7 linked regions of the Macaca mulatta genome follow. The protein of the gene in region 6 purifies or fractionates together with the protein of the main gene of each other region. This does not show direct contact. Links are inferred from orthologs where the notes say so. Each region holds a gene or a part of one and is shown on either strand. Other genes may lie near its edges.

The links.
Region 1: the proteins of NFKBIA (region 6) and RPS3 purify together in Homo sapiens (affinity purification with western blotting; 4 studies listed by BioGRID and IntAct, with this or other methods). This does not show direct contact. The link is inferred for Macaca mulatta from reciprocal best matches to the Homo sapiens genes NFKBIA and RPS3.
Region 2: the proteins of NFKBIA (region 6) and ARRB1 purify together in Homo sapiens (affinity purification with western blotting; 3 studies listed by BioGRID and IntAct, with this or other methods). This does not show direct contact. The link is inferred for Macaca mulatta from reciprocal best matches to the Homo sapiens genes NFKBIA and ARRB1.
Region 3: the proteins of NFKBIA (region 6) and PSMA4 purify together in Homo sapiens (affinity purification with western blotting; 3 studies listed by BioGRID and IntAct, with this or other methods). This does not show direct contact. The link is inferred for Macaca mulatta from reciprocal best matches to the Homo sapiens genes NFKBIA and PSMA4.
Region 4: the proteins of NFKBIA (region 6) and CUL1 purify together in Homo sapiens (affinity purification with western blotting; 8 studies listed by BioGRID and IntAct, with this or other methods). This does not show direct contact. The link is inferred for Macaca mulatta from reciprocal best matches to the Homo sapiens genes NFKBIA and CUL1.
Region 5: the proteins of NFKBIA (region 6) and NFKB2 purify together in Homo sapiens (affinity purification with mass spectrometry; 6 studies listed by BioGRID and IntAct, counting the BioPlex papers as one, with this or other methods). This does not show direct contact. The link is inferred for Macaca mulatta from reciprocal best matches to the Homo sapiens genes NFKBIA and NFKB2.
Region 7: the proteins of NFKBIA (region 6) and TRIM22 purify together in Homo sapiens (affinity purification with western blotting; 3 studies listed by BioGRID). This does not show direct contact. The link is inferred for Macaca mulatta from reciprocal best matches to the Homo sapiens genes NFKBIA and TRIM22.

Annotation. Positions count from the first base shown.
Region 1 is NC_133419.1:75,815,493-75,820,093, reverse strand, and holds the start of RPS3 (small ribosomal subunit protein uS3), read right to left. Parts: upstream 3,175-4,601; 5' UTR 3,145-3,174; coding exon 3,115-3,144; intron 2,252-3,114; exon of another isoform or gene 2,104-2,251; intron 1,952-2,103; coding exon 1,821-1,951; intron 1,006-1,820; coding exon 912-1,005; intron 362-911; coding exon of another isoform or gene 314-361; coding exon 219-313; intron 1-218. UniProt on the Homo sapiens protein: Component of the small ribosomal subunit. The ribosome is a large ribonucleoprotein complex responsible for the synthesis of proteins in the cell. Has endonuclease activity and plays a role in repair of damaged DNA.
Region 2 is NC_133419.1:75,669,832-75,673,749, forward strand, and holds part of ARRB1 (beta-arrestin-1), read right to left. Parts: intron 3,442-3,918; coding exon 3,382-3,441; intron 2,244-3,381; coding exon 2,176-2,243; intron 1-2,175. UniProt on the Homo sapiens protein: Functions in regulating agonist-mediated G-protein coupled receptor (GPCR) signaling by mediating both receptor desensitization and resensitization processes.
Region 3 is NC_133412.1:56,691,405-56,695,033, reverse strand, and holds part of PSMA4 (proteasome subunit alpha type-4), read right to left. Parts: intron 2,648-3,629; coding exon 2,570-2,647; intron 1,961-2,569; coding exon 1,872-1,960; intron 1,197-1,871; coding exon 1,066-1,196; intron 274-1,065; coding exon 150-273; intron 1-149. UniProt on the Homo sapiens protein: Component of the 20S core proteasome complex involved in the proteolytic degradation of most intracellular proteins. This complex plays numerous essential roles within the cell by associating with different regulatory particles.
Region 4 is NC_133408.1:188,608,789-188,612,706, reverse strand, and holds part of CUL1 (cullin-1), read right to left. Parts: intron 3,289-3,918; coding exon 3,212-3,288; intron 2,734-3,211; coding exon 2,602-2,733; intron 1-2,601. UniProt on the Homo sapiens protein: Core component of multiple cullin-RING-based SCF (SKP1-CUL1-F-box protein) E3 ubiquitin-protein ligase complexes, which mediate the ubiquitination of proteins involved in cell cycle progression, signal transduction and transcription.
Region 5 is NC_133414.1:114,505,665-114,510,259, forward strand, and holds the start of NFKB2 (nuclear factor NF-kappa-B p100 subunit), read left to right. Parts: upstream 1-1,438; 5' UTR 1,439-1,947; exon of another isoform or gene 1,948-2,104; intron 2,105-2,956; exon of another isoform or gene 2,957-3,194; 5' UTR 3,195-3,266; coding exon 3,267-3,287; intron 3,288-3,558; coding exon 3,559-3,640; intron 3,641-3,756; coding exon 3,757-3,797; intron 3,798-4,036; coding exon 4,037-4,135; intron 4,136-4,211; coding exon 4,212-4,363; intron 4,364-4,595. UniProt on the Homo sapiens protein: NF-kappa-B is a pleiotropic transcription factor present in almost all cell types and is the endpoint of a series of signal transduction events that are initiated by a vast array of stimuli related to many biological processes such as inflammation, immunity, differentiation, cell growth, tumorigenesis and apoptosis.
Region 6 is NC_133412.1:108,520,446-108,524,886, forward strand, and holds the start of NFKBIA (NF-kappa-B inhibitor alpha), read right to left. Parts: upstream 2,944-4,441; 5' UTR 2,854-2,943; coding exon 2,627-2,853; intron 2,017-2,626; coding exon 1,908-2,016; intron 1,581-1,907; coding exon 1,370-1,580; intron 1,080-1,369; coding exon 991-1,079; intron 884-990; coding exon 614-883; intron 244-613; coding exon 196-243; 3' UTR 1-195. UniProt on the Homo sapiens protein: Inhibits the activity of dimeric NF-kappa-B/REL complexes by trapping REL (RELA/p65 and NFKB1/p50) dimers in the cytoplasm by masking their nuclear localization signals.
Region 7 is NC_133419.1:69,874,863-69,879,388, reverse strand, and holds the start of TRIM22 (E3 ubiquitin-protein ligase TRIM22), read left to right. Parts: upstream 1-1,404; coding exon 1,405-1,827; intron 1,828-2,416; coding exon 2,417-2,512; intron 2,513-3,476; coding exon 3,477-3,707; intron 3,708-4,526. UniProt on the Homo sapiens protein: Interferon-induced E3 ubiquitin ligase that plays important roles in innate and adaptive immunity.

The sequences.
Region 1 (4,601 bases), on a different chromosome or scaffold from region 6:
CCATTACAGTACTGACCACCCTTTATGGTTCTCGCTGCTTTCATAGTCTTGCTAGTCTGCCAATTCAGTGAGGGCATGGTTTAGTATCTTACTATAATCCTGGGAGACTAGCAGATCCTGTCACTTTATAACAGTTCATCTGCTAATCAACAAACAGGAGACATATATTTTGATACACACAAAAGGTCATGACCATTATTAGGTCTCAGGACACTTACCTCCGCACAGCAAGCCCTCCTAGGAGTTTGTAACGCAGAGACTCTGCCTGGGCAATGGCACACAGACCTCTAGTGGCCACCTTTTCAGCATAAAGCTTTAAAGGAAGGAAGGGACATCCTGTTACCATCACCACTGTTTTCAACTGAAAGTTGAAAATTTGGCATGTCACACAAGCATCACTTTCTAGACCAAGCTTGCCCAACCCAGAGGTCGCATGCTGCCCAGGAGATGGCTTTGATTGTGGCCCAACAAAAATTGAACATCGTGATTTTTTGCACTACCAGTAGTGTGGCCCAAGATAATTCTTCCAACGTGGCCTACGGAGGCCAAAAGACTGCACAACACCATCACAAACAGCATATAATTTCAGTATCCCTCAATTCCTAAAGCACTTCTACCACCTACACACAGTGCAGGTTCCTTGCCCTCCCACCCTGGCTCCTTTGGCCATACCAACTACACCAATGGGGACAGTCAATCCATCATATGCATCATTTCTATACCCAAGTTGAATGTAAAATCCTTTAACTATCAACCATTAGCAGAACAGGCTTACAAAGTTAAGCCCATTATTCATTAAGAGAATTTCAACAAAGTTGTATCAGTCCATTTGTAATGAACAAAGTCTCCCAGTTTTTAGAAGTTATCATTCTGAAGAGCCATTATCTCTGGCATACGCCAGAATCACTCACCTCTACACTGCCCTCTGGAAAGCCAAACCTCTTCTGAACTACAGCAGTCAGTTCCCGAATCCGCCGGCCCTTCTCACCAAGAACATTCTGTGTTCTGGGCGGGGAAAAAGTGACAATTCATGACTCTCACAAATGCTAGATTTAACTTTAAATCTTGCAATATATATGTGGTAGCAAAATCTCTGCCACAAAGCATATAATTTTCATTGACAAAAACTAAAGTTAAATTTTCAAAATGCAGCTTTTTTTGAGACAGGGTCTCTCTCTGTCACCCAGGCTGGATCACACCAATGGCTCACTGCAGCCTGGACCTCTTGGGCTCAAGCCATCGCCTGCTTCAGCCTCTGGAATAGCTGGGACCACAGGTGTGCACCACCACAACCTTATCTTTTTTAGAGAGGGGGTTTCCGCATGTTGCCCAGGCTGGTCTTGAACTCCTGAGCTCAAGCGATCCTATGCCTGGCCTTAAAATCCAGCTTTTAAGAAGCAATTACATTCACTAAGCCCAGACTCACTGGCTGTCTATCCCCTTAAGTTCACAAAGGACAAACCAGCCAGGCGCGGTGGCTCATGCCTGTAATCCCAGCACTTTGGGAGGCTGAGGTGGGCGGATCCCGAGGTCAGGAGATTGAGACCATCCTGGCTAACACAGTGAAACCCCGAATCTACTAAAAATACAAAAAATTAGCCGGGCATGGTGGTTGGCCCCTGTAGTCCCAGCTACTCAGGAGGCTGAGGCAGGAGAATGGCAGGAAGCTGGGAGGCGGAGCTTGCAGTGAGCAGAGATCTCACCACTGCACTCCAGCCTTCGGGACAGAGCAAGACTCTGTCTCACACACACAAAAAAAGGAATAAACCAACTTAGCATTTACAACAATTATAGGTGATGGCCAGTCAAGTGAGTTTTACCTGGTGGCTAAGATAATGATTTCTGTCCTGGTTGGTGTAACTCGCACCTCAACTCCAGAGTAGCCATCTTCAGCCAGCTCCCGAGTAAGAAACTCATTCAGTTCAGCTTTGAAGATGCCATCAGCGACAAACTAATCCAAAAAAAGCGAAGTTCAAAATTAGGACATCGGTGTAGGCTCACTTTCGCCTGAGCCAGTGTCTTATTAGTCAATGCATCCCTCCCCAAAACTAAATACCTCCAACCAATGGTTCCAAACCCTTGTTCCAACAGGAGTGCAGCAACCCTTCTCAGACAAATGCCTCTAGGTCATCTTTAGGAAGTTACTTCAACCAGGGCCCTTTAAACTGTGCCACAGAATGCAGCACAGAGTAGGCAACCTGGGCGAAGGCAACACCCCCAAGTCAGACTCGTCATCATCTCTTCATCGAAGGGTTTAAAACAGTTCCACATGCAAAACAAGAAACTGCTCTAAAATAGCCTATTTACACCTCACTCAGCACAGCAAAGACACTGTACTTGTCACTGTGAAGGAACAGAATAGATAGTGGACTTAACATAAGCTCTCTCACTTGCAGACACAACCTGGACCGTCTAAAGAATCCCAGCCATGTTATCTGGCCTTACGGTACCTGTGGTTTTAACTGTAAACAGAGCTGGAAAATCCTAACTCACAAGAGTTGTGGATTTAATTTTAACATCGAAGTGTAGGTATACGAAATGACAAACTGTCTATTTTTAAAGCTAATGATTTTTACACAGTTCTTTCCCATGGAATAACAAAGCGTTAAATCCGAGGCAGCTTCCTCCCGGGGTCCTCAGACGGAGCAAGCAATCGTCAGTAACCCTTCATGTTGAGGTCGTGGGACCAGCAGACTGTACCCAGACTCGACCAGTAAGAAGACAAGTATACACTGCTGCCTCCCCTTCCCAAAACCATGGGATAAGACATGAGGGAAATGACACACGCCCTCAAAATACCACGTTTACTAATTCCATTGACCAAAAAATGCTCACAAACGCCTTCTCCGGGACAGAAGGGGCGCCTGGTCCCCATCTCTCTGCGCTTCACTCGGAACCAGAGAAAAACCTGTCTCTCCCTTACCCGGCCACACAGCGCCCGCCTGGCTCGGGCCTCTCACTCAATCCACCGCCATCCGCGGCCCGTGGGAATGCCAGGAAGCCTAAGCCGCTTCCCAGGGCAGGGCACGGAGCTGCAGGCCTCGCGGTGGCACCCGAGAAGCCCCTGACCCTCGCGGCGCAGTCGTTCCCCGAACCCAGTCCCCAGAGGCTCACCTTCCTCTTCTTGGAAATTTGCACGGCCATCTTGCCGCCGCGCTCCGCCGAAAGAAAAAGAAGTGGCGGGCGGGCGGAAGTGAGTATAAAGGGCGCGAGCGACGGCGGAGGGCTGCGCTACGTGGACGCCTATGGGTGCTCATGGGAAATGTAGTTTTTACGTAAAGAAGGCGTCAAGGGAAGGAAGAGTGTAGGCAGGAACAGTAAAGGGGGTTCGACCAGCAGGACTGCTAGACTTCAGAGGATCTTAGAGTTCAATTCTCTTTTTTTTTTTTTTTTGAGACGGAGTCTTGCTCTGTCGCCCAGGCTGGAGTGCAGTGGCCGGATCTCAGCTCACTGCAAGCTCCGCCTCCCGGGTTTACGCCATTCTCCTGCCTCAGCCTTCGGAGTAGCTGGGACTACAGGCGCCCGCCACCTCTCCCGGCTAGTTTTTTGTATTTTTTAATAGAGACAGGGTTTCACCGTGTTAGCCAGGATGGTCTCGATTTCTCGACCTCGTGATCCGCTTGTCTCGGCCTCCCAAAGTGCTGGGATTACAGGCTTGAGCCACCGCGCCCGGCCGCGAGTTCAATTCTCATAGTTTAAAAACAAGCAATGCGAGGTGCAGAGGTGGAAATTACAGGTATAAGTTCACACAGCAACAGAGTTTAACCAGCGTGGAACTCTGGCCCCTACACTTTCAGGGTGGATATTGTAATGAAAATCTGCTGAAATCCCTCAGTGAAATTCATTTAAGACTCCTCTTTGGGAGGCCAAGGCGGGCGGATTACTTGAGGTCAGGAGTTAAAGACTAGCCTGGCGAACATGGTGAAACCCCGTCTCTACTAAAAATAGAAAAAGTAGCTGGGCGTGGTGGCAGGCACCTGTAATCCCAGCTACTCAGGAGGCTGAGGTGGGAGGATTGCTTGGACCCGGGAGGTGGAGGTTGCAGTGGGCGGAGATCCCACCACTGCACTCTAGCCTGGGCGACAGAGTGAGGCTCTGTCTCAAAAAAAAAAAAAAAAAAAAAAAAAAAAAGAATGTCCCCAGTCTGTGCCCATTTCCTCCATTCCAAATGATAATAAAACCTGATATTTACTAAGTGTCCTAGGGACTGTGTTCTGTGCCCTTTATGTTGTTTTCATTTACTCCACCTTACTTTCATCAAGTCCATTACAATTTGTAACAGAAGTCCCAGAGAGTGGCTCGTGTGCCCGCCCACCCTCCCTCTCTTCCTTCCTTCCTTCCCTCCTTCCTTCCCTCCTTCCCTCCTTTCTCTCTCTTTCTCTCCTTTCTTTCTTTTCTCTCCCGTTGCCCAAGCTGGAGCGCAGTAGTACGATCTCAGCTCCCTGCAACCTCCACCTCCCAGGTTCAAGCGATTCTTCTGCCTTGGCCTCCTGAGTAGCTGGGATTACAGGTGCACACCACCAAACCCGGCTAATTTTTGTATTTTTAGTAGAAATGAAGTTTCACCACGTTGGCCAGGCTGGTCTTGAACTCCTGACCTC
Region 2 (3,918 bases), on a different chromosome or scaffold from region 6:
GCATAGGGGTCTGTCACTATCTGGCTCCATTCCATCCTCCCCTGTTCTATCCCAGAAGTGCCCCGTGGCCGCACTTCATTTGGGTCCTGGTACCCAGCAGGAGGCTGAAACAGGGACTACATTTTCACCTCCTGCTTCCCTATGTCACCAAATAGGTAACAATGTCACTTCCCGCCTCCCTATGTCACCTTACACAAATAGTGTCCCTCTGTCATCTCTTTTGGTGACACAGGACACTGTGTAAGCTCTTTAAGGACAGAAATTTGTGTCTAAGGTGTTCACAACTGTACTCTCAGCACCTATAACTGTGCGTGCCATATAATAAACACATGCCAGATATCTATTATGTAAAACTACGCAGAGGGGACAGGGGTCCCAAGAAGAAATGGGGTTTGGGGAGGCGTCGGGGTTCAGGGAGGAGGTGTGGATTCAGTCAGGGGGATGCAAGCCAGTGAAGGGGACAAGCCCAGGGAGGGGAGAAGGGCCATGGATGAGACTGGCTCCACGAAGGTTACAGGGGATCAGGGAGCAAATGAGGATCTGGTGAGGGAGGGAGACTCAGTGAGGCCGTCTCTGAGGCATGCTGGGAATGCTGCATCTCCATTGCTCAGATAAGCTGCTTCCATTGCCTGGAATGGAGGAGCCAGGGTCAAACTCCCAGCTCTCCTCTTGCTAACTATGTGGCCTTGGGTACATTAACCTCTCTGCCTCCATTCCCTCATCTGTAAAGGGTGATGATAGAAGGACCTATCTCTTTTTTTGCTTTTTAAATTTTATTTATTTATTTATTTTGAGGTGGAGTCTCACTCTGTTGCCCGAGCTGGAGTGCAGTGGCGCGATCTCAGCTCACTACAACCTCTGCCTTCCAGGTTCAAGCAATTCTCCTGCCTCAGTCTTCCGAGCAACTGGGATTACAGGCATGTGCCACCACACCTGCCTAATTTTTGTATTTTCAGTAGAGATGGGGTTTCACCATGTTGGCCAGGCTGGTCTGGAACTCCTGGCCTCAAGTGATCTGCCCGCCTCGGCCTCCCAAAGCTCTGGGATTACAGGCGTGAGCCACCGCGCCTAGCCAGGACCTAATTCTTAGAGCTGCTATGAGGATTAAATTAGTTCGTACAGCCCAGCACTGTGAATGGTGCCTGACACCTAATCAGCCCTTGATAAATGATAGTTTCTATATCATTATTATTAGTAACTCCTTGGTGTGGATTTTAAATGTCCCATTGGTGGTAGGGTGAGAGGGGTGGCTCTCAATGTCACCTCCTCTTTCTTGTGCTTGCTAAGCCTCCTCCCACATCCCACAGCACCCTTCCTTTTCCCTTGTCTCAGGTCTTAAGAGGAAAAGGGAGACAGAGAAGCAAGGGAGAAAAGTCCCATCTCCCCACACACAGGCAGGGCTGCAGATGCAAATGTATGCAATACACCCTATAGCCACCAGGTGGCAAACTCAGCCCATGCCCTAAAAAGGCTGCTGTGCCCTCAGCCAACCTCCTCTGGGAACAGTGCCTCTGGATGCAGGAACATCAGCGTTGAGGGCCCACCAGCTCTTCCAGGAGGCAGGCAGAGCACAGCCTGACCCAGGAGGGGCAGGCCTGAGACATCCGGGCCAGCTGTTTCTGGCTGCCAGCCTGGGCTCTCTGTCTGCCCAGGCTGTGCTTCTCCAGAGAATGCTTCCCCTCTCGGATGTGGGCCGAGCTCCCTGTCACTCTGCCCTGGATGGGTTCACTATCTCCACTTCCTCCTCACTTAGAAGCTGCCATTGACACACACTCAACCCCTGCTGAACTCCTCCCAAGAGGAAAACTGGAAAATGGGGATGGTCAGGAAACAGCCTGCTCACGGTTTAACACAATCTGAATTTAGGATTTTTCCAAAACAAATTAAAAAGACATGCAGTCTGGAGGGGATGAAATGAGAGGCAGGGAGATGAGGGAGGAAGCTTCCACAACGGTGCGAAGGAGAAGATGCGGCAGCCTGAACCTGGGCAGTCAAAGCCACCTCCCCCAGGAAGCCCTCCGTGACCTCCCAGCTTCCAGAGTGTCCTTCCAAGGCTGGAATGTGCGCCCCTCCTCACACACTTCCAGGTATTGTTACTTATCTCCTCTTGGACTTTGCCCATCCTGTCTCCCTCCCTCACCCAGCAGGCAGCCCACACCCTGGCATCCTACTCACCGCTTGTGGATCTTCTCCTCCAAATTCTCCGCACAGAAGGCTTTGACTTCATAGTCCACACCGCAAGCCTGTGGGGAAGGGGTCACTGACCACAGGGCCTTGGAGAAGCAGGGTCCCCAGTACACAGCCAGCCTACCTCTCATTTTACAAGCGAGGACACTGAGCCGGGCGCGGTGGCTCACGCCTGTAATCCCAGCACTTTGGGAGGCCGAGGCGGGCGGATCACAAGGTCAGGAGATCGAGACCACGGTGAAACCCCGTCTCTACTAAAAATACAAAAAATTAGCCGGGCGCGGTTGTGGGCGCCTGTAGTCCCAGCTACTCGGGAGGCTGAGGCAGGAGAATGGCGTGAACCCGGGAGGCGGAGCTTGCAGTGAGCTGAGATCCGGCCACTGCACTCCAGCCTGGGCGACAGAGCGAGACTCCGTCTCAAAAAAAAAAAAAAAAAAAAAAACAAAAAAAAAAAAAAACAAGCGAGGACACTGGACAGGAACACCAAGCTCCCACAGCCCAGCCCTCCTCGGTCTGGAAGAAGCAGGGGAACGCCCTTGTGCTCAGCCCCAGTGCTGTGCTGCCTCCTCCATCTGACATGGGACATCCCAAATCATCCAAACAGGGCTCTGCTCTTTGGACTCCTGCCTCAGTCTGGGTGGCCATCCTCATCTAGGCAGCTGCCCAGAAATAGCAACAGGTACCTGAGCGGACTGGGGGCACCCACTACTACTGTGTGCAGACCTGGCCCTGGGTGGCTTCTCCGGTATCCCTCTAATAAGACAAGGAGGCACGTGCTGTCATCTCCATCTTGCAGATGAGGAAGCTGGGCTCAAAGGTCTGCAGCTAGTGGTGTCACTTCTATCCAAGCCTCAGTTTCCCCATCTGTGACATGGGGATGATCACACCTTGATTCAAGGTTGCCAGGGGTTACGTGAGGCCAGGTGTAGGTCCTCAGAACACTTTGGTCCTGTTGCAACCAACGCCACTCAGGAGGGCCTCTGGATCCATCACTTAATGGGAGAGTGAGGCTGACCCCATACCTGCTGCCCTGTCTAAAGAGAGACTGGTTGTCCAAGGTGGGACCAGCTTAGCCTAACACTGTTCAACAGGGAGAGTGGTTCTGTGTGTCCAGCACCTCCCAGGGAGAAAGCCAGGGACCTGGGGACCTGAGAGTCCTGGAGCCAGAGAGATGGTCCCCTTGGGGTAACCTACCTTCCCTGTGTCTTCGGGCCCCGGCTGCAGTGTCACAGAGCATGGAAGGTTTGGAGGGATCTGTCAAGAAGACAGAACGAGCCATCTATCACATCCACCACTGTCCTGTCTCATGTCTTGCAGCCCAGACACGCCCATACACCTATCAGACCAAGGGCCCCAGGGGACAGGCCATGTCTACCCCATCAGACCATGCCAACCCATGCCCCGCAAGTGTCTGAGTTTTCTTTATCTAAAGAGTTTGGCCTAGCCCAGTTCTCACAGCAATGGTTTAAATAGATCTTTCTATGATGTCTACTGTAGTTGGCAGAATAATGGTCCCCCAAAGATGTCCACACCCTGATCCCCCAAACCTGGGACCTTAACGACAAAAGTGACTTTGCAGATCCAATTAAGGCCTTGAGATGGGGACAGTATCCTGGATGATTTTGGTGGGCCTGATATCATTATAAGAGTCCTTAGAAGTAGAAGCAGGAGGCAGAAATGTACGAGCCAGAGTGATGGGATGTGCAAAAGACTCAACAGCCACTGCTGGCT
Region 3 (3,629 bases), about 52 Mb from region 6:
GCAGAGGTTGTAGTGAGCCAAGATTGTGCCACTGTACTCCAGCCTGGTGACAGAGCAATACTCCATATTTAAAAAAAAAAACAAAAAACTTAACAGCTGCTAATTCCCCTTGCTCAGCTGAAATCATTAAAGCAGAGGATATGGATTACCTTTTTCAGCGGAGAGTTTACTAACATCCATGGTCTTATTTAGTACTTTGATAGCTAAAGCAAGTGCTGACTTCAAGGTCATTTCTCCTTCTTTGTAGTCTTGTTTCAACATTGACACAGCTGCCTATAAAACATGAATCAACACAGAATTTTAAGTTTTTACATTTTTTAGAAACATGAATTGGTCTAGAAGAAAAATGCCTGAATTACTATTGGCATTACAAGTATAAACAATTTTTTTTTTTGACACAGGCTCACTCTGTTGCCCAGACTGGAGTGCAGTAGCATGATCTCAGCTTACTGTATCCTCAAGTCCCCCCGGCTCAGGTGCTCCTCCTCCCACCTTGGCCTCCTGGGTAGCTAGGATTATAGGCACATGCCATGGTGCCCAGCTAATTTTTGTACTTTTTGTAGAGATGGGGTTCTGCTATGTTCCCCAGGCTGGTCTCAAACTGCTGGGCTCAAGCAATTTGCCTGCCTCGGCCTGGGATTACAGGCATGAGCCACCATGCCTGGCCCATATAAATAATTTTGATGACAGGGAGGGCACACATGGCACAGGGTGAGAAGAGGTGGTACTGATGCTCTATATAGTGTGTCTTTAACCTGAGGTCCTCAGTCTCCCAATGGGTCTGTCATAGAATTCAAGGGGTCTGTAAACTAGGATGTGAAACAAAATCACAACTTCTAATTTCACAACTCCTAACTGAAAATTAGCATTTATTAATGTAGTTAACGAACCCCAGTGTATTAGCTATACCAGCAACTCTGTCCCCAACAGAAATCACAGATATTTCCATATCACATTAAGGCTGTGGCAGCTATCTTTAAATACTGTTTACATTCATCACCACGGCAAAATTATGGCATCTATTAGACGTTCTGCTAGATTTCACAGCACAACAAAAATACTCACAGCGCTATTATTTCCAATGCATGTGGCCTTCCATCCCCCGTAATTTCCACTTGGGTCACTCTGATAGAGCTGAAAGCCATAGTGCTTATCCCAACCAATGTACAGCAATGAAACACCAAATGGACGTTTTCCTTTAACAAAGAAAAAAAGCCAAATATATCAATAATCTAAATTTAGTATCACTATAGTTACTTGAGCTCAGTGAATGTAGCTAAACCTTTCTCTGTGAACTTAAGCATTCATAAACTGTTCTGTATTCTGGCTACCAGAGATAAGCTCCATTACAAATTCCACTTGTTTCTATGATTTGGACACAGCCAGGAGAGGGAACAGAGAAAGGACCAGTACTGAATTTCATTATGTAAACAGCAGTTAGTTTCCAGATCTGAAAATGTTGTTTTGGACTTTCAATATCCTATTAATAAAACTAGGGTAATCTACATGGCGGAGGAACACATTCATTCATGAAGCAAGAATGTATGAAATTCTAGTGTTTTACGCCACTGTAGGATTAATATGGTTAACTGTAACACATTAGTTTCAAATAGTTAGAAGGATATGGAAGGCTCCCAACACAAAGAAGTGTTTGAGATGATTAATGTGCCATTTACCCTGATCTGATCATTATGTGTACCGAAACATCATTATGTACCCAACGAATATGTACAATTCTTATTTGTCAATTAAAAAAATTAAATTCAATTTAAAACAAAGGGTCTATTTTCAATTTTTTACTACCTCAAAAGGGTTATAACTCATAAAATGTCTTAACTTTTTGGAATAACATTTTCAAAAAAATTAAGTACCACCAAATTGTGTATATGCTTGCTTGATATCACATAGTGCTGTAACCAACTGCTCACAAGGTATCGGCTCCTGATACTGCAATAAATACCTAGGATAAAGAGATTGGCATATTAGTAGTTTTCTCCAAAACACAGACAGACTCTAAGGAAAATATTCTCTGAAAAGCAATCCATGCCATGGGGACAACCTAACAGTCATTTGCAATTTGAAGGGGAGGGAACAAGTCAATATCCGAATATTCTCATAGTAAGTAACATTTTGTAAGTTTGGTTGAAAAAAATCTGTAATTTTCAATTCAAAGATTTTTAATGACTTTAATCTTTGCAAAAGTGAGCTCTCCTTAGAAACGTCAAAACTAGGCCAGCCGCAATGGCTCATGCCTGTAATCCCAGCACTTTGGGAGGCCGAGGTGGGTGGATCATGAGGTCAGGAGATCGAAACCATCCTGGCTAACACAGTGAAACCCCGTCTCTACTAAAAATACAAAAATTAACCGGGTGTGGTGGCACACGCCTGTAGTCCCAGCTACTTGGGAGGCTGAGGCAGGAGAATGGCATGAACCCGGGAGGTAGAGGTTGCAGTGAGCCAAGGTGGCGCCACTTCACTCCAGCCTGGGCAACAGAGTGAGACTCCATCTCAAAAAAAGAAACATCAAAACTAATTTCTGTATCATCAGTTATGCTATATATGACCATACCTTTGAGCAATGAGCCTTAGTTCATTAGTCAGAACATTAGCATCAGAAGTTATGCCTGCCACACTGCAAGCCATGTCCCTTGAAGAAAAAAAGATATTGATCTGTAAGCAGGGAAGATGCCTGCAAGGAGCATTTATAAATATTAAAAAGCACAGAATTATATTAGCAATTCACTACGTTTGCTTCACAGCAGCTACTTCCTTCAGAAGAAACCTATAAAAGTCTTATCTTTGTAGGAGACGTTTACTTGATGTCATTCAACATGAAAGATAAATAAATGCACCCTTAAGTTCGTTAATAGATGTATTTATCATTACCACCCTGTGAATAGGGTAACAGGATTAACGCCAGGAAGCTAAAGTAAATCTCAAGAAGATTTAGCAACAGAGAATACAAAGACAGGCTCGTCACAATGGCTCATGCCTGTAATTCCAGCACTTTGGGAGGCCGAAGTAGATGGAGGGTTTGAGCCCAGGAGATTAAGACTAGCCTGGGCAATGTGGCGAAATCCCATCTCAACAAAAAATACAAAAACTAACTGGGTGTGGTGGTGCGCACCTATAGTCCCAGCTACTTGGGAGGCTGAGGTGGGAGGATCACTTGAGCCTGGGAGGCAGAAGTTGCAGCGAGCCGAGATGGCGTCACTGTACTCCAGACTGGGTGACAAAGCAAGAATCTGTCTCAAAAAAAAAAAAAAAAAAAAGATTTTGCTAGACAGATTGCTCTTGAGTAGTATTCATTTCCTAAGGCCTGGCTTGATGGAGGTGACGGGGGACAGTGGCAGGAGGGTTTACAAGCCTGCTTAGGAAGTACAGGGCTAGGCTCCTACTCGAGGTGCATTTCATTTTTTTTGGACCATTTCCTGAGGGCTGCCCTGGCTCTCTTATAGCTGAGACTCACCCTGTGACTATGCCTAGCCAAGTGTGCCAGCTGTTGGGTGAGCCCAACAGAGGCTCTGTGGAGGGGTGACACCACTTTGGACAAGTGTATCCAAAGGCCCTGATAATCAGCATTTACCAAGCCTACCATCACTGAAGGGAAAGTCTCTACTTAGCATGGC
Region 4 (3,918 bases), on a different chromosome or scaffold from region 6:
GGCCCCCCATAGAAAAGAAAAAGAAGGAAAACTTAAATGCATGGAAACACCTCCAAAAATACATGGCCTAAGTTTGAAGAACTTATTTATGAAACACATTCTTTAAACAAGTACAAACAAAGCGCAGATCTATTTAAAAGGGAATATAAAACGTGGCAATGCCACCACAATGCGACATCTTCCCAAAGTCATTCATCTTCCATGTTTTCAAACATTAAAATAATTTGAAGTTTTTTCAAAAAATGTATTGTCTATGTGGATATATACTATAGATACGTATGTCCCCACTCGTTTTATAGCGAAAATCACATATACACACACCTGGTATATGTGGACATGTTAAGCATCAACCTCCAAATCTGTTTTTGGCACATGAGCTAAGAAGTATTATCTTTTGGCACATTCTTGATGTAAAACAACACAAATATCAAATTATATTTGGTTTTCTAATCCTAAGTACTTTACTATGAAAGTAGGAAAAAAGTAAGTAAAGTATGAAATGGCAAGTGCACTAAAGGTTTTCTTTTTTTGAGACAAAGTCTTGCTCTGTCACCCAGGCTGGAGTACAGTGGCACAATCTCAGCTCATTGCAACCTCTGCCTCCCAGGTTCAAGGGATTCTCCTGCCTCAGCCTCCCGAGTAGCTGGGACTATAGGCGAGCACCACCACGCCCAGCTAATTTTTGTATTTTTAGTAGAGATGGGGTTTCACCATGCTGGCCAGACTGGTCTCGAATCCCTGACCTTGTGATCTGCCCGCCTCGGCCTCCCAAAGTGCTAGGATTACAGGCTGAGCCACTGTGCCCGGCCCTAAAGTATCTTCTAAAAGACAGGTAGCACGCGTTGGTTCCTGATTGCTGAGAGTGTGCGAGCGAATGAATGCCCCTGAAGACTCCTTCCTCTCTTCTCCCTCTTTCCTTGCATAATCGACAGCAACAAGTAATGACCCATGACTGTCAGCCACTGCTCGCCCAGCCAAGACCTCAGTCAATGAAAAGAGAAACAAACAAAAAATGCCACATGCCCGTTTCAGGGGGGCCCACAGACAACAGTGCTTCCAGGGCCTTGAACAGAGACGCAAGGGAATGAGTGTGTTGCTAATGTCTTCTACTGGGCCCGCTCTTGGCTGCCTTAACATGGCAGACACACCCTAGGCAAAGCCTCCGCCTTGTCAAAAACTGGACACTGAAATTCCAGGTACTATAGTCGAACACATGGATTCTTCTACGAATATTTAGGGATAAATGAAACAAAATTTCAATTATATAGTAAGAAACATTCAACTTGATAAAGACCTCTGGAGCCAGCGTAACAATACTATGCATTTTAACAATTTTAAGTCAGAGTAGATTTATGAAAAGTTTAAATTAATGAGCAGCTTGAGCCTGCAGAACAACCCATTCTGAAGTTTCTTAATACTTAAACATAGACTTGTAGTTGTTCTCAGAAGTTTATTGGTGAAACCTTCTCAGAGACTAAATTATGCCATTACTTGTGAAGCCCACTCTGTACAAAAGTGGAAGTAGAGGCCGGGCGCGGTGGCTCAAGCCTGTAATCCCAGCACTTTGGGAGGCCGAGGCGGGCGGATCACGAGGTCAGGAGATCGAGACCATCCTGGCTAACACGGTGAAACCCTGTCTCTACTAAAAATACAAAAAGAAATTAGCTGGGCGTGGTGGCGGGCGCCTGTAGTCCCAGCTACTCCGGAGGCTGAGGCAGGAGAATGGCGTGAACCTGGGAGGCAGAGCTTGCAGTGAGCCGAGATCGCGCCACTGCACTCCAGTCTGGGCGACAGAGCGAGACTCTGTCTCAAAAAAAAAAAAAAAAAAAAAAAAAAAAAAAGTGGAAGTAGAAAGAGCCTGGAGTTTTTTTTTCTTTTTACTTTAAAAAATTTATAGAGATGGGGTCTTGCTGTGTTGTCCAGGCTTGTCTCAAACTTCTAGCCTCAAGCGATTCTCTGGCCTCAGCCTCCCAAAGTGTTAGGATTACCAGCATGAGCCACCACATCAGCCAAGCCTGAACTTTAAGAGAAAAGACTTTAACTGAAATTTTGGCTCAGCTACAGATAAGCTAGGATTCAGAGAAATTCACTTCAATTAACCCAAGCCTCAGTTTTCTCACCTACAAAATGGAAATATTCTTAGTTACACAGTTATAAACTAGGTTATACTCAATATCGTTGTAAGCACTGTTGTTAATGTGACTGCTTTGTCAAAGGTGGAGAGCTGTTATAATTAAATGCACGCAACTCCAGCGTTTTAAGTCACTACCTGAACACTTGATGTGTGTCCGGCAGGAGCCGTGCCAAACACTTAACTAAATACGTTATTTAACTTTCACATCAATTCCCAAGTATAAGCACTAACATCCCATGAATGGAGGAGAAAACTGAGGCTCACAATCATTAAATAACTTGTTCCCCAGCCAGAAAGAATTGGAATTTGGCTCCTCTGATTCTTACAACTCCATGCTTTAAACTTGCCACTATTTCACCAGAAGCTGAATTCTAGATTCTGCTGCTGAGTCAACTGCTAATGATTTCTATAATTTACCTTATGCTCATTTAGAACAGAAACATTTTAAGACACAAACGTGATCTTACCTGCAAAGTATATCTGTTTTTGAAGCAGTTAGTTACCAATTCTCCTTTAGACAACTGATATAACCACGTCAATTTTCGGCCACTGTGGCGGCTGGCGTAGAAAGCTGTGAATCGCTGATAACTACGTTCCAACTAGATAAAAGGACAGCATTATATGGAATACAGATCTCACCACGTCCTACAGGCAGTGTTTCTAAGCAAAGCACACTGTTCCAAGCCTACAGTACAAAGTCAGTGCTTATATAAAAGTAAAATACGAACGCCAGGTGTCTGCCTCTCTTGCAAAGCGCTTTAAGCACTGGAAGGTACGATCTTAAAAAAGGTTCATACTTCAAGACCAGCATCGTCAAGGTGTTCATTACACAACGAATTAGGCTCTAATTACAATAAAGAAACGTGTGTGTGTAGAGTTGGGCCAGCCAGCCCACCTTTAGACATCCAGACCTGCCCCACCGCACAGGGCTCTTCCCTGAGTGCTGCCTCACGGTTCACTGTGACGCAGCCAGCCGGCAGGAAGGCCGTCTGCAGGCCTATCCCCTTCCACAGCGAAGGCTGCCCCGCCCCACCCTCCACCTAGCACTAAGGGGACGGCAGATAAACCCATCCTTACCTCTGACGGCAAGGCGAACGTACAAGACTGCTGGAAGGGCCAGGACCCGGAGCTCAGCACTTGAATGCTGAAGTCCACTGGGGGGCGGAAGAGAGGGGAGAGTGAACATTCTGGAATACATTAATTTGTTTATAAATTGAAAAATTCAATCATTTCAGATGAATGTAGGTTGCTCTTTATTAAAAAGCACATTAAATAAAAATCCTGCTTGAATATAAAATTAAGAATTGAACATTTTATTCAATTAAAATTAGCAAAAAGCGCAAGAGCCAGATATTCTTTTCTTCCAAAGAGTGACAGTCTTCATTTCGCTTCCACCTCGGAATTCTGCTGTCACATGCCTGCCCTGCTTCCCTTGCTTTCCTTTTCAGTCCTGAATCACTGAGTCCACTCAAGCCACGCCTGGGCTCGCCAGGCCCGGCATCATCACAGCCCCAGACTCATGGAAACTTACAAGCAGGAGAAAACTGCTAACTTCACTACAGTATGTGTTTCAGTTATTACTGTGAAAAGACACACATGGTCTATAAATTATAACACTAATTTCATCTTCACAGATAGTTACAAAGCCCACTGGCAAAACTGTCCAGGTTTACAATGGAATCGTTATCCTGATTTGGGAAAAATAAAACTCTCCATTTTTCCTTTAAAAAGACAAAGATGATCAAAAGATGACGTAAGCATAAATCTGCCATTCTACTACTATG
Region 5 (4,595 bases), on a different chromosome or scaffold from region 6:
TGTTTTATATAAATTTAGGGGAAAGAGCTTCATCCTGGAGTCAACAGATTGGGTTTGAATCCTGGCTCTGCCCCTTCCTAGCTGTGTGTTTGGTTACTCCACCTCTCTGAGCCTTGATTTCTTCATCAGTAAAGGTAATATTCACCTCCTAGGGTTGTTGGGAGGGAGAATGAGAACTTCTAAAGTACTCGAACCTAGTGCCTGGGACACTATATTTGCAGGCAAGATGAAGGGGGGTGGGGAAGTAATAGGAAACAGACAGCCCAAATCGAGAGCCATAATAGTCTCTCTTAGTGCCAGTGCAGGCCTGTGATTCTGTTCTTAAAAACGTCTGGGGCAAGCTGCAGGAAAGATCCCAGATAGCCTATGTTCTACCATAAGCCTAAGGGAGGAGGACTCCAGGCATGGAGATTACTCATGGCACCTGCTAAGGAGAAACGCTACTGACCAGAGAGAGGTCCACTCATGTACTCGATACTTGGTGAATTCCTGTCCTGACCTCACTGCCTCTAGAAGTGTTCAGATGGAAACTGGAAGGTCTATAAGAGGCAATTTGGCAGGACACAGTGGCTCACGTCTGTAATCCAAGCATTTTGGAAGGCCAAAGTAGGAGGACCACTTAAGCCCAGGAGTTTAAGACCAGCCTAGGCAACGTAGTGAGATCCATCTCCACTAAAAATTTAAAAATTTGCCAGGTGTGGTGGTGTGCACCTGTAGTCCCAGCTACTCAGGAGAGTGAGAGAATCAGTGCACCCCGGAGTTCGAGGTTGCAGTGAGCCATGATCGCGCCACTGTACTCCAGGCCTGGGTGACAGAGCGAGACACTGTCTCAAAAACATAAATAAATGAAATAGGCCGTGTGCGGTGGCTCACGACTGTAATCCCAACGTTTCGGAAGGCGGAGGCCAGCGGATCACCTGAGGACATGAGTTCGAGACTAGCCTGACCAACATGGTGAAATCCCAACTCTACTAAAAATACATAAATTAGCCGGGCTTGGTGGTGGGCACTGTAATCCCAGATACTCGGGAGGCTGCGGCAGGAGAATGGTTTGAATCCAAGAGGCGGAGGTTGCAGTGAGCCAAAAGCGCCTCACTGCATTCCAGTCTGAGACTAAAAAAAAAGAGGCGATTTCCCACATCGGTGGAAATTTGAGCTGTTTAAACTCTGGATGCCTTTTTCAGTTCTAATATTCCAGATCTCCGTGGTGGATAAACACTTAATTTCCCTTCTCCTGCGCAGAGCTCCTGAGTCCTGGCCCGCTGGGAACCTATCACTTCTATAAAAGTCCGAGGTCCGGACTGTCTCTCCCGGAACCCTGAGGCTGATGAGACAAAGCGAGACAGGGGCCTGGGCCAAATGGAGTCTCCTTGCGGCCTCATGAAGGCCGCCAGAGGGCGCCCGGGACCGACCGCAAAAGCAACTTCCTTCCTCTTCCGCTAACTTCCCGGCAGCCCGCCGCTCAGGGTGGGGGCCCCGAGGGCTGGGGCCGTCGGCTTCCCCCTGGGGTTCCCCCGCTTCGGAGAAAGTCAAGCATTAGGCGCAGCCAAAGCCGAGCTGCAGCGGAAGCTCCCGGCCCAAGGTGGCGCTGGGTCAGCGGGTACCTTCTCGGCGGTCCCCTAGCCGGCCGAACTAGTGGCCTGTCGCCCCGCTGGTGGCCTGTCGCGCCTGGTGGCCTGTCGCCCCGCTCCCTACCCTGAGTGAGCCTGTCCCCTCTCAGGGGCGCGCCCGAGTCGCTCCGGGTTGGCTGCGCCAGTCCAGAGTTAAACTTTCAGCCAATGAAAAAGGGCGCGAGGCGTGACGCACGGAAACGTCATGGGAATTCCCCCCTCCGGGGGGCCGAGAAGGGGCTTTCCCGGCCCCAAGCCCTGCTGGCCGGCGAGGTGTCGCGACCGGTCCCAGGTGGGTCGGGCGCGGAGAGAAGCCGCAACCAGAGCCGCCGCCACGGTGAGTGGCTGGATTCAGACCCCTGGGTGGCCGGGACAAGAGAAGAGCGGGAGGAGGGCCTTTAGCGGACAGCGCCGGGGGCTGGAGAGCAGCAGCGGCGCGCAGGCAACGACACTCAGATCCACGTCGACATCCTTGTACAAAGACACACGGACCCGTACGTACACCTGTACCTGTGCTGGCGCACACACGGCAGCGTCCGTGCAGTCGCACTCGCACACACATGCACACGGAGACGTGCCCACCGGTGCACTGGTGCCTGCACCCACACCCTTCACGCACAAACTCAAGATACGCTCACCCGTGTCTGTACATCAAGACAGGCGCTGACACACACCCACACTGAGAAGCTCAGGACTCACCTGTCTACACACATGCTCGCTTGCACACTCATGTTGACGCCATGGACACACAACATGCACCCAAGCACTAGAGCCGAAACACACTTGTGGAGCTGTGATGGAGACACACGCTTGTATTGGGTGGGGAGCGTGCAGAGGTCTCCCTGTCGCCTGCGTGCCCAGAGCCGGTGCGGTGTGGAACCAGCTGCTGTTGCGAGGTTTGGGAAAAAGAGGAGCCGGAGGAGAAGACACTTTTCCCGCGGCCCCAGAATCGTGTTCTCGGGGCAGAACCCCGGGGCCTCCCACAGGAAAGAGCCCCCGCCTACAGGCTGTTCGAAGGGGAGGCCATCAGACAGCAGGAACGTCCCCCCAAAAGCCCCCGGGTTTATCAGCCGTGGCCTCCCTCCTGGCAGAAATTCCCAAGGTTGCTCCAGACCGGGGGAGGGGAGCGGGAGGCGGACTTGGCTCCAGACTGCCAACCTCCCCACGGCCGTGAGGGACCCTCCTGTTCCCTGCCCTGGAGGGAGGAGGGGGCTTAACCCCCACCGCGGCTCCCCTGACTCTCCTCTCCCTCTACCCGCTGAAAAGCAGCGGGAACCCGTAGACTGGCGAGGGCCTCCCGCCCCTCCCGTCGTGAGGGCGGTGCCACTGGCGTCATTTCCAGGCCCGCCCCCTCCGGCCCCGCCTCCCCTTGGTATTTTCGGGACTTTCCTAAGCTGCTCTAACTTTCCTGCCCCTTCCCCGGCCAAGCCCAACTCCGGATCTCGCTCTCCACCGGATCTCACCCGCCACACCCGGACGGGCGGCTGGAGGAGGTCGGACCGTCCCCCAAATCTGGGCCCCCATCTCCCGCCCACCCCCATTTAGATCTGACCCCCTCCCCCACGCCACTCCTCCCAACTTTAGGCGGGCGCCTAAAATTCTGGGAAGCAGAACCTGGCCGGAGCCACTAGACAGAGCCGGGCCTAGCCCAGAGACATGGAGAGTTGCTACAACCCAGTGAGTCACGCTGCCTGCCCCTGACCCGGCCGGCCGCCCCCCGTGTCTGTCCACCTGTCTGCCCGAGCCCCCTCTGCTGCCACACACCTGCATGCTCGCAGATGCTCTCAGCCTACCAGTCTGTCCATCTGTCTACAACTCTGCCTCCAAAAGGAGCTTTCTCTTGGGCCTGAGGAGGAGGGGGAGTGACCACTGAGGACTTGGAGATGGGAGGTGGGGCCGTGGGGGGCGCTGAGAGTTGGATGCCACCCCCAGTCTGTCTCCAAACCAGGGTCTGGATGGCATTATTGAATATGATGATTTCAAATTGAACTCCTCCATTATGGAACCCAAGGAGCCAGCCCCAGAGACAGGTCAGTAAGTTCACTAACCTCCTCTAGTCCTAAAGGTAGGGGGAGGGAGAGCATGTGCCTTCTGCCTGGGGGAAGGGCTGGGAGATAGTGGCTAAGCAAGGTCTCCCTGTCCCCAGCTGATGGCCCCTACCTGGTGATCGTGGAACAGCCTAAGCAGGTGAGTAAGCAAAAGGGAGGGTGTGGAATGGCTTCAGCTTTGGGGACAAATGGGGTAGTGGTAGCTGGCAGGCCATGGAGGAGCCATTGCCCAAGGAGGCCACAGGGGATTGGATGGTCACTGCTGCTGATCAGAGTGCTGTAGTTGTGGTTCAGAGCAGATACTACCAGGCACTGTGGTCACTGCTGGCCGGGGTGGTCTTCCCTGATCATAATGCTACTCTGCCCTTGGACCTTCAGAGAGGCTTCCGATTTCGATATGGCTGTGAAGGCCCCTCCCACGGAGGACTGCCCGGTGCCTCCAGTGAGAAGGGCCGAAAGACCTATCCCACTGTCAAGGTGAGCCAGGATGGTGCTGGAGGGTTGGCTAAGTGGACAGCACGCCCAAGGCCCTGACAGTCCCTGCCTCTCCTAGATTTGTAACTACGAGGGACCAGCCAAGATCGAGGTAGACCTGGTAACACACAGTGACCCACCTCGTGCTCATGCCCACAGTCTGGTGGGCAAGCAATGCTCGGAGCTGGGGATCTGCGCCGTTTCTGTGGGGCCCAAGGACATGACTGCCCAGTAGGTGCCCTCTACCCCTGGCCCCCACTGATATGCCCCTCACTCTCTGCCAGTCCTAAGCCCCAGCCCACCTCCATGAGCTTAGCATCTGACCAAGGGGAGAGAGGTAGGTTGGCCCCAAACCCAAGGGCCCAAGTAGAAACTCCAATGGCTTCCTTGAGGAAGTAGGGCTGAGCTGAGCCCTGACAATGGGAAAGGCACCTCAGGAAGAAAGAACTGCACAGCCAAAGGC
Region 6 (4,441 bases):
TTGTCCTCTACAAAAAGTTCACAAAAGCAACACAATGAGGGCTGATCCCACTACAATAAAACGTTTTGGGCCAGGCAGTGTGCAGTGTGGCTATAAGTACACCCTTTAAATTTTTTTTCTTTTTTCTTTTTTTAGAAAAATAAAACTTTTTTTTGTACAAATATACAAGTCCATGTTCTTTCAGCCCCTTTGCGCTCATAATGTCAGACGCTGGCCTCCAAACACACAGTCGTCATAGGGCAGCTGAAAACAAGGGGAAAGAAGACACATTAAACTTCCGAAGCTCTGCCAAGCCACTGGGATGGGGAGGCCGCTACTGGAAATAACCCTTGGACTCCATTCTCCATAGCCCAAATACAATGAACTTTACAGGCTGAGGGAGTTTGCCTTTAACTCCCATTTTAAAAATGTTTTAAAAAATGCTTTTCTTTAAAAAAGGGTAAGCTATTTTAAAAAAAAAAAAAGGTACATTATTGGGATACTGGTTATGCACAGAAATTTGAGAGACTCATTATGTAGATACCCCTCTGATAAGGAGCAGTTCTAGGGGCCCGGGAGGGTGAAGGGAATGGTCCCTCATTAGTTAGAGAGCCCAAGGAGTTCACAGACTCACCTCATCCTCCGTGAACTCCGTGAACTCTGACTCTGTGTCATAGCTCTCCTCATCCTCACTCTCCGGCAGCATCTGAAGGTTTTCCAGTGTCAGCTGGCCCAGCTGCTGCTGTATCCGGGTGCTTGGGCGGCCCCAGGTGAGCTGGTAGGGAGAATAGCCCTGGTAGGTAACTCTGTTGACATCAGCCCCACACTTCAACAGGAGCGACACCAGGTCAGGATTCTGCAGGTCCACTGCGAGGTGAAGGGCAGTCCGGCCGTTACAGGGCTCCTGAAACCAAAAGGAATTTGAGATGCTTATGGCTGCGTTTGGAATTTCTGCTCACAACATGAGCACGGGGAACTTGACTCAGTGCATCGGAGGCAGGAAGCACTAACCTGAGCATTGACATCAGCACCCAAGGACACCAAAAGCTCCACAATGCCCAGGTAGCCATGGATAGAGGCTAAGTGCAGACACGTGTGGCCTGGAAGAACAAAACGAAAAAAGTATAACCACCTGTTTCAACCCTCACTCCTTTCACCTATTCTTTTATGGGACAAATAGTCATATCTTCTGAATTTTAAGAACCCACCGTCTGGGTTCTGAAGGAACTTTATAAAGGCATCCAACAGGCACTTTGCACACGTATTTTCTCAACCTTTCAAATGCTGGCAGTTTAAGTTCTTGCCTCGACTCCTTAAGTTGGCCCACCTGCCCCTTCTCCACATCACCTGCCACCTGAGGGGGTGGGGCAGGGCAGGGAGGCAGACATACCATTGTAGTTAGTAGCCTTCAGGATGGAGTGGAGGTGCGGGGTGGTGCAGGACTGAGTCAGGACTCCCACGCTGGCCAAGCAGCCCTGCTCACAGGCAAGGTGTAGGGGGGTATTTCCTCGAAAGTCTCGGAGCTCAGGATCACAGCCAGCTCCCAGAAGTGCCTCAGCAATTTCTGGCTGGTTGGTGATCACAGCCAAGTGGAGTGGAGTCTACGAATGCAGGAGAGACCAGAGAAAGTAAGCCAGGGACCAAACCCACACCCTGAGTTCCCCTGAACCCGTGTCTCCTGGTTGGGTGCTGCTCCTCCTGGACAGGCGGGTGGGGAGGACTGGCAAATAGCAGAGACTCCAGGTGGGTCACAAAGACCTCACCAAATCAGTGGAATTTCCTTCACTCTCTAGGATGTGGGCTGACGTGAAGTAAAAGGTGAGGGTGAATAATGCCCAGTGGCCCTGAATTCAGAAAGGATCTGGGGTGACTTTGCTACATCAGTTCCATCCCAGAGTTAGAGAGCCCGGGCCAGGCAAGCGGCGCACCTGCTGCAGGTTGTTCTGGAAGTTGAGGAAGGCCAGGTCTCCCTTCACCTGGCGGATCACTTCCATGGTCAGTGCCTTTTCTTCATGGATGATGGCCAAGTGCAGAAACCTGTGGGGAAGAGAGGGAAAAACCCCAGGGGTGGTGAGTGCACCGCGTGGGGCCCAGGGAGGCGCGGGCTGCGGGGGATTGCGCAAGGCCGGGGTTTCTGGAGGCCGAGGCCGCGGTGTTTTCCGCGAGGTTATTATGAGCTGAGTGTTCCTGGCAGGCGCCCAGGGACTTTCCGCCCCCCTCCCCCCGCGGCCCCGGCGGGCGCCGGCCAGACCGCCCCGCCCTCCCGCCAGCTCGGAACGCCCTGTACTTCCCCTCCCGGCTGCTCGGCGCCCGCCAGCGGCCAGAAACGCCTTATGCAACCGGGGACTTCGCGTCCCAGCTGCCGCCCCGCCCCCGGCCTAGAGGACAGGCCTGGGGGGAGGGGGCGTGTGGCGACGCTGCCGTCCACCAGGGCCCAGCCGCCGCCCCTCCGAGTCGGGCCGGTGCCCCGCGCGGCCCTGCAGCCCTGCAGCGTTCGGGGCGGTGCAGGAGCCCCGGGGCGCCGCGGCGCCAGCCCGGCTGCATCGCTAGTTCCCCAGGTCGGGCTCCAGGCCCGGCGTCTCCCACTCCCCGGCCGCGCGCATCCGGCCCTCCCGAGGACCCCCGGCTCCGGGTCTGCGCCACTTACGAGTCCCCGTCCTCGGTGAGCTGCTGCTTCCAGGGCTCCGCGCCGCGCGGCACCTCCTGCGGCTCGAGGCGGATCTCCTGCAGCTCCTTGACCATCTGCTCGTACTCCTCATCCTTCATGGAGTCCAGGCCGCTGTCGTGGCGGTCGTCCAGCAGTCGTTCCTTCTTCAGCCCGTCGCGGGGACCCTCCATGGCCCACTCCTGGGGGCGCTCGGCCGCCTGGAACATGGCGCGGGCGAGCTGCGGGCGCTGCTGCGGGTGCGCTGGGCCGCGGGCTGCGCGCTGCTTCCTCGCTAGGGCGCTGGCGGGCGGGACGGCGGCACGGGCTGGTGTGGGCTCTGCAGCGCCGCCGCGGCGCCCTATAAACGCTGGCTGGGGATTTCTCTGGGGCGGGGTCAGGCGCGGGGAATTTCCAAGCCAGTCAGACCAGAAAAGAGAACTGGCTTCGTCCTTTGCTAGGGGGAAAAAGAAGCCTAAACCCTGAGCTGGGGTTCGTCGGAGAAACTCCCTGCGATGAGCCACTGGGGTCACGGACAGGGAACTTTTTGATGAGTGCCAAGTGGCTGGAAAGTCCTTCCGACCAGGCCCCCTTCCCCGCGGTACTTCCCTGCAGCCTGCACCCTGTAATCCTGTCTCTCTGCAAGTGAACCTTCTTTCCCTGGGGTTTCCCACGATCGATTTGAATTGGGGTCGTCGGCTGCTGAGATCCCAAGGACGCCGACATGATGGGCGGTCCCTCTTTGGGGTTTGCCAACCTGCCGGTCCTTTCCGTTTTTTGATCTTTTGAAAACGCAAGAGTGGAAATGATGGCTGGGCGTAGGGATTTTCTTTCCCCAGACTTCTAAGGGGAAGGACGCACTGTGGTTATGGGGCTGCAGGCCGCTCTTGTGTTTCTGCTAATATCAGGCTCATTGCAGAACGGGGACGTTTAGCTTCGCGCCCTTCCTCCCCTACCCCCCACGCACCTCTGCCAGGTAGAACTGTGAAAGCTTTGGAGGAGTGGAAAGCCTAAATCTTTGGAAAACTCTCAAATCACTTCCAATCACTTCCTAGGGATGAACAGCCTTGTTGAGTGGGGGAGGGGCAAACTCTCCCTGTATGGGGAAACTGCTGAATAGGACCATGATTTTTTTTTTTCCCCCCAAGTAAAGCAAGGTGTTAATCTTTGTAGTGGTGGTTGTGGATACCTTGCAATAACAGAGTAGCTATTGTGTTCATAAGTAGCTGTTGCATTCATGCTATCTGACCTACATTGTGCTGCCGCAGAGAATGGATCCTGAGCCTACTTCTGGGCATCTAAACTGAGCAATTCGAGGAGCACTTAGAGAAGGAGGCTGAAGAATGAGTTTAGTTAGTGCCTTAACCGCGATTGGACCTTAAGGACCGCTAAGAAAGTAGTTGCCAGTCATCCTGCAGGAGGCTCAAGGCAGCCCCATCCTCCCATCCTGCCCCCCCCCCGCCTTGCTCCCTCGTCCTGGGGGATAGTAGCAGTTGGACCCATTCATGCCACCCAGGTAGAAAGGGGTTTTGGCTCACTATGCTCTGGTTTCACCTGCAGAAATGTAATTTATGCTCTCCATCCCACCTCCACCTCCAAGCCTGCAAGCCATGGACTGAATTCATCTACTTGGTAGAATTGGTACAGGCAAAATAAAGCACACTTCGGTCAGAGCTCTTCAGAATTAGTCCCAGGAGCCCTCTGTAGTTCTGCAGAGATTTCTGGTGATGATTGCAATCATCTTTACCTTGACTGGCCATGTACTAACCAATCCTTCCCCTCTCTTCAAATCTCCACCCTTCCCCTAATATTAGAATG
Region 7 (4,526 bases), on a different chromosome or scaffold from region 6:
GTCTTTGGGGAGTGAGTGTGAGGTCATGGGAGGACTTGCTATGGGTAGATGTGTTAGGATGTGAACTCTTCTTCACTGGAAACCATAATCATGGTCCCAAAGCTCAGCTATTGGGAAACTGCTAATTGATGGAAAGAAAAGATGAAAATCTGATTCAAAGGTCTAATCATCTATGGAGGGATAAGAAAGTTGTAGCTTTAAATATTCGTTCAACATTTTATTCCTGTATGTGATTCGCTCTTCTATGTATAGAGGACATATCAGTGAACAAAAACAGTCCCATGTCTATGAATGGATTACTTTTCAGGAGGAAGAAGTAGACATTTAAAGAACAATCTTATATATTACATAGTAAAAATAAGAAAATAAATGTGCAGTGAGTGATATTACTGGTGGTTTTGCTATAAGTAAGTTATAGTATGTCCTTCTAAGAAGAGGACATCTAAGAGATTGAATTAAATTTAAGAATGACTCTTGCTAACATCAGGGGAAGGATCATTTTATGGAGAGAGAGGAGCAAGTGCAAAAGCCTTGAGGAGTCATAGATTTGATAGTTTAATTGAGGAGGTGTTTTTTACATGTGGAAAAAGCAGAGGAGATAAACCTTAACAGTATAAATAAAATAATTCAGATACCAAAGACCATATATTATGATTCTATTTTTATCAATTGATTAAAAACCCAAAGGATATTAGTGATTGTCTGGAGCTTGGGATCAGAATAGGAGTAACGGCATTAGGGTTTTTTTTTTTTTTTTTCAGGTGGTAAAAATAATTTTAAATTGTGTTACAGTAACAGTCATATAGTTCCACAAATTTAGTAGAAATTATCACATTATACACTTAAAAATGAGAGTGTATGATGCTATGTAAATACAACTCAGTAGCTTAAAAATACACAAGTATTAGTGAATCATGCAAATATTAGAGATACAATCACGTCATCCAGAGAGAAAAGCATGTGCGAAAGCCCAGGGGCAGCGGTGTGCTTAGTGCATTTAACATGGAAAATGTGTTTTGGGTTGGGGAACAAAAGGCAGGATAAATGATGGGTTACACGAACCTCTTGGTAGAAAAGCTTCAGTTTGTCCTCTCCAGTAGAAGAGAAAATAACAATAATTGCCTTGATGGGGTGAAATTTGTCCTGAGACAAAAATTAAGAATAAACTGTTTCAAATTACTACAAAGTCCATTTTATTCTGTCATTGGTTTATTCTTCTTGCCTTTCTTTTCTCCTTTCTCTGTTAAATATTAATTTTTGGTCCTGTTCTAAATCTCTGTAAAAGCAGTATTCTTTCTATTCCCGCTTTTCTTACCATGTCCCCTTCAACATTTCCAGCACTGCAGGATTTTCTGACCAAGAGGTTCAAGAGTCAAGACAGAAAGAAGCCAAGGGAGCAGTGCAATGGATTTCTCAGTAAAGGTAGACATAGAGAAGGAGGTGACCTGCCCCATCTGCCTGGAGCTCCTAACAGAACCTCTGAGCCTGGATTGTGGCCACAGCTTCTGCCAAGCCTGCATCACTGCAAAGATCAAGGAGTCAGTGACCATCTCAAGAGGAGAAAGCAGCTGTCCTGTGTGTCAGAGCAGATTCCAGCCTGGGAAGCTCCGACCTAATCGGCATCTGGCCAACATAGTTGAGAGAGTCAAGGAGGTCAAGATGAGCCCACAGGAGGGGCAGAAGAGAGACATCTGTGAGCACCATGGAAAAAAACTCCAGATCTTCTGTAAGGAAGATGGAAAAGTCATTTGCTGGGTTTGTGAACTGTCTCAGGAACACCAAGGTCACCAAACATTCCGCATAAACGAGGTGGTCAAGGAATGTCAGGTAGGCTCCAAGGTAGAGGAAGAGAAAGCAGAGAGCAGAAATGGTACCTGATGTGAAATCTCCACGTTTTTTGTCCTGCTTTATTCCCCTTTTCACCATAGAACTGAGAGCCCTGTGATCTCTTTCCAAACTCTTTACTTAGTTTCTGAAGCCTGAAGGACAGTGCTGCACATTGCTTTTATTTAAAAGAGTACATTTTTTAGCAAGGAAAAGTTGAATGAATGGAGAATTGCTTTGTAAGATAAGCTTTAATTGCCACTCCGAGAAGAAAGGTGTTTTTGAGAACATGTCTTGTTAGATGTGGCAAAAGTGGCAATGAAAGGAAGTCTTTCCTTAATGCAGGGTCTGCTTTTTCTCTAGGAAAAGAATCAGGCTACTCTTGATAAGGGGATGGTAACTTCCATCATCCAGTAATAAAGAATACGTTCATCTCCTCAGATTTTCCCCCATGCCATAGGTTCTAATCACCAGCCTCACTGTTTCTGTAAACTAGTCCCTTCTGAGAGCCATCCAATTTCTTCCTTGCTATCCTCTATCCAGGTGCTGAGAAAACTCATAACTTTACTCTGGTATAATTTCTTTCTCACAGGAAAAGCTGCAGGCAGCCCTGCAGAAGCTGACAAAGGAGGATCAAGAAGCTGAGAAGCTGGAAGATGACGTCAGACAAGAGAGAACCGTCTGGAAGGCAGGAGGAGACACCTCCTAAGGGATAATTAGACAGGAATCTGGGCAGGACCTTGGGCTCTATCACAAGGAGACCACTTCCCCTTTGCTGTGCTAGAATTAACAGTTATAGAAGTCATATGATTAGGTCTCATTTAATTCCTTCCCTGTTGGAGTTTGGGGGCTGGAGAGCAGACATATCATAAATCAACACAATATTTGGAAGTGAAGGCATGGAGGGAAATACCTGTGAAAATGCTTCCTGTGAATCCTGTGTTCCATTTGTGTCATCAAGTTTGAGGCTCCAATCCTTCCAGTAAACAACCTGAGGAAAGACCCAGGATTCCCTGTTTAGGTGGTTTGGGTAGGGGAATTTTTTTTTTTTTTTTTTTAGACAAGAGTCTCGATTTGTCATCTAGGCTGGAGTGCAGTGGAGTGATCTCGGCTCACTGCAACCTCTGCCTTCCCAGGTCAAGCGATTCTCCTGCCTCAGCCTCCCAAGTAGCTGGGACTACAGGCACGTGCCACCATACCCGGCTAATTTTTTGTATTTTCAGTAGAGATGGGGTTTCACCATGCTAGCCAGGATGGTCTTGATCTCCTGACCTCATGATCCGCCCACCTCTGCATCCCAAAGTGCTGGGATTACAGGCGTGAACCACTGTGCCCGACCAGGTAAAGGGATTTAAGAGAGAGAAAGGCAAGGTTGTTCAGGACAGGTGTCTATAATCCAAGCCTCACCCAAGCATCACATTTTGTCTCAGATTAGGCCTCAATAAAAGACTTGAGTGTATTGCTTTGGAAGGAGTTCCGGTTAAAAAATAGAAAAGCATGGCTTCACCAGAAATTGTGTATTGGCTTTTGCCTCGTATTCCTTTTGAGAACTCCCTGAGGAAAACAGTTCTTATCCTGGCTCCCAGGCTCATACAAAGCAGGCCTTCAACCAGCCAGACTGACTGCCTCTTTCTCTTCTCTTCTCATTCAAGAATTATATCCAGCTCGAGAGACAGAAGATTCTGAAAGGGTTCAATGAAATGAGAGTCATCTTGGACAGTGAGGAGCAGAGAGAGCTGCAAAAGCTGGAGGAAGGTGAGGTGAATGTGCTGGATAACCTGGCAGCAGCTAGAGACCAGCTGGTCCAGCAGAGGCAGGATGCCAGCAAGCTCATCTCAGATCTCCAGCGGAGGTTGAGGGGGTCATCAATAGAGATGCTGCAGGTAAGACTTGGGATGGAGCACCTACATATGAGATTAGGGGAAAAACACAGAGGCTGATTTTCCTTCCCTTCCCAGTCTCTAGGCTTTCTTCTGTGTGGTGACATTAAATGGTTCCTTTGGCCTGGCAGTGCCCCTTTTATGCCCATCATTTCAGGAGTCACAGAGATAATTAAGTGTATGAGTGGCAAAGGAAATTCCCTTTATTATTTACTTATGAGAGGCAGTGTAAAAATTTGAGCTTGGAGAGAAGATTCTTTGTACCATGAGCAAATTCGTTTTAGAACTTCCCCATCACATCAAAAACATTTCTCATGCCTGTTTACAGTCAATATCTGCTTCTACCTCCACCTCCTGGCAACCAATCTGTTTTCTGTCTGTATAGAATTGGCTTCTCTGGACATTTCAATATGAACTGAATTATACAACATGTAGTCTTTTGCATCTGGCATCTTTAATTTAGCATAATATTTTGAGGTTTATTTATATTGCAGTATGTATCAGCATTTTGCTCTTTCTTATTGCTAATACTATTCCATTATCTGAATAAATCATGTTATGTTTGTGTATTCACCAGTTGGTGGCTATATGAATATTTTCCAGTTAGGGACTATTATGAATAATGCTACAGTAAACATTCACTTACATGTCCTCATACAAACATGTTTTCATTTATCTTGAGTAGATTTTAAGAGTGTTATATGTTAAGTTTATGTATAATTTTTAAGTTGTTGTACTATTTTCCAAAGTCGTTACTCATTCTATATGAGTAACAATATAAAAGCTTATAAAAAGTAATATAAAAAGTTTCTAGGTTCTTCA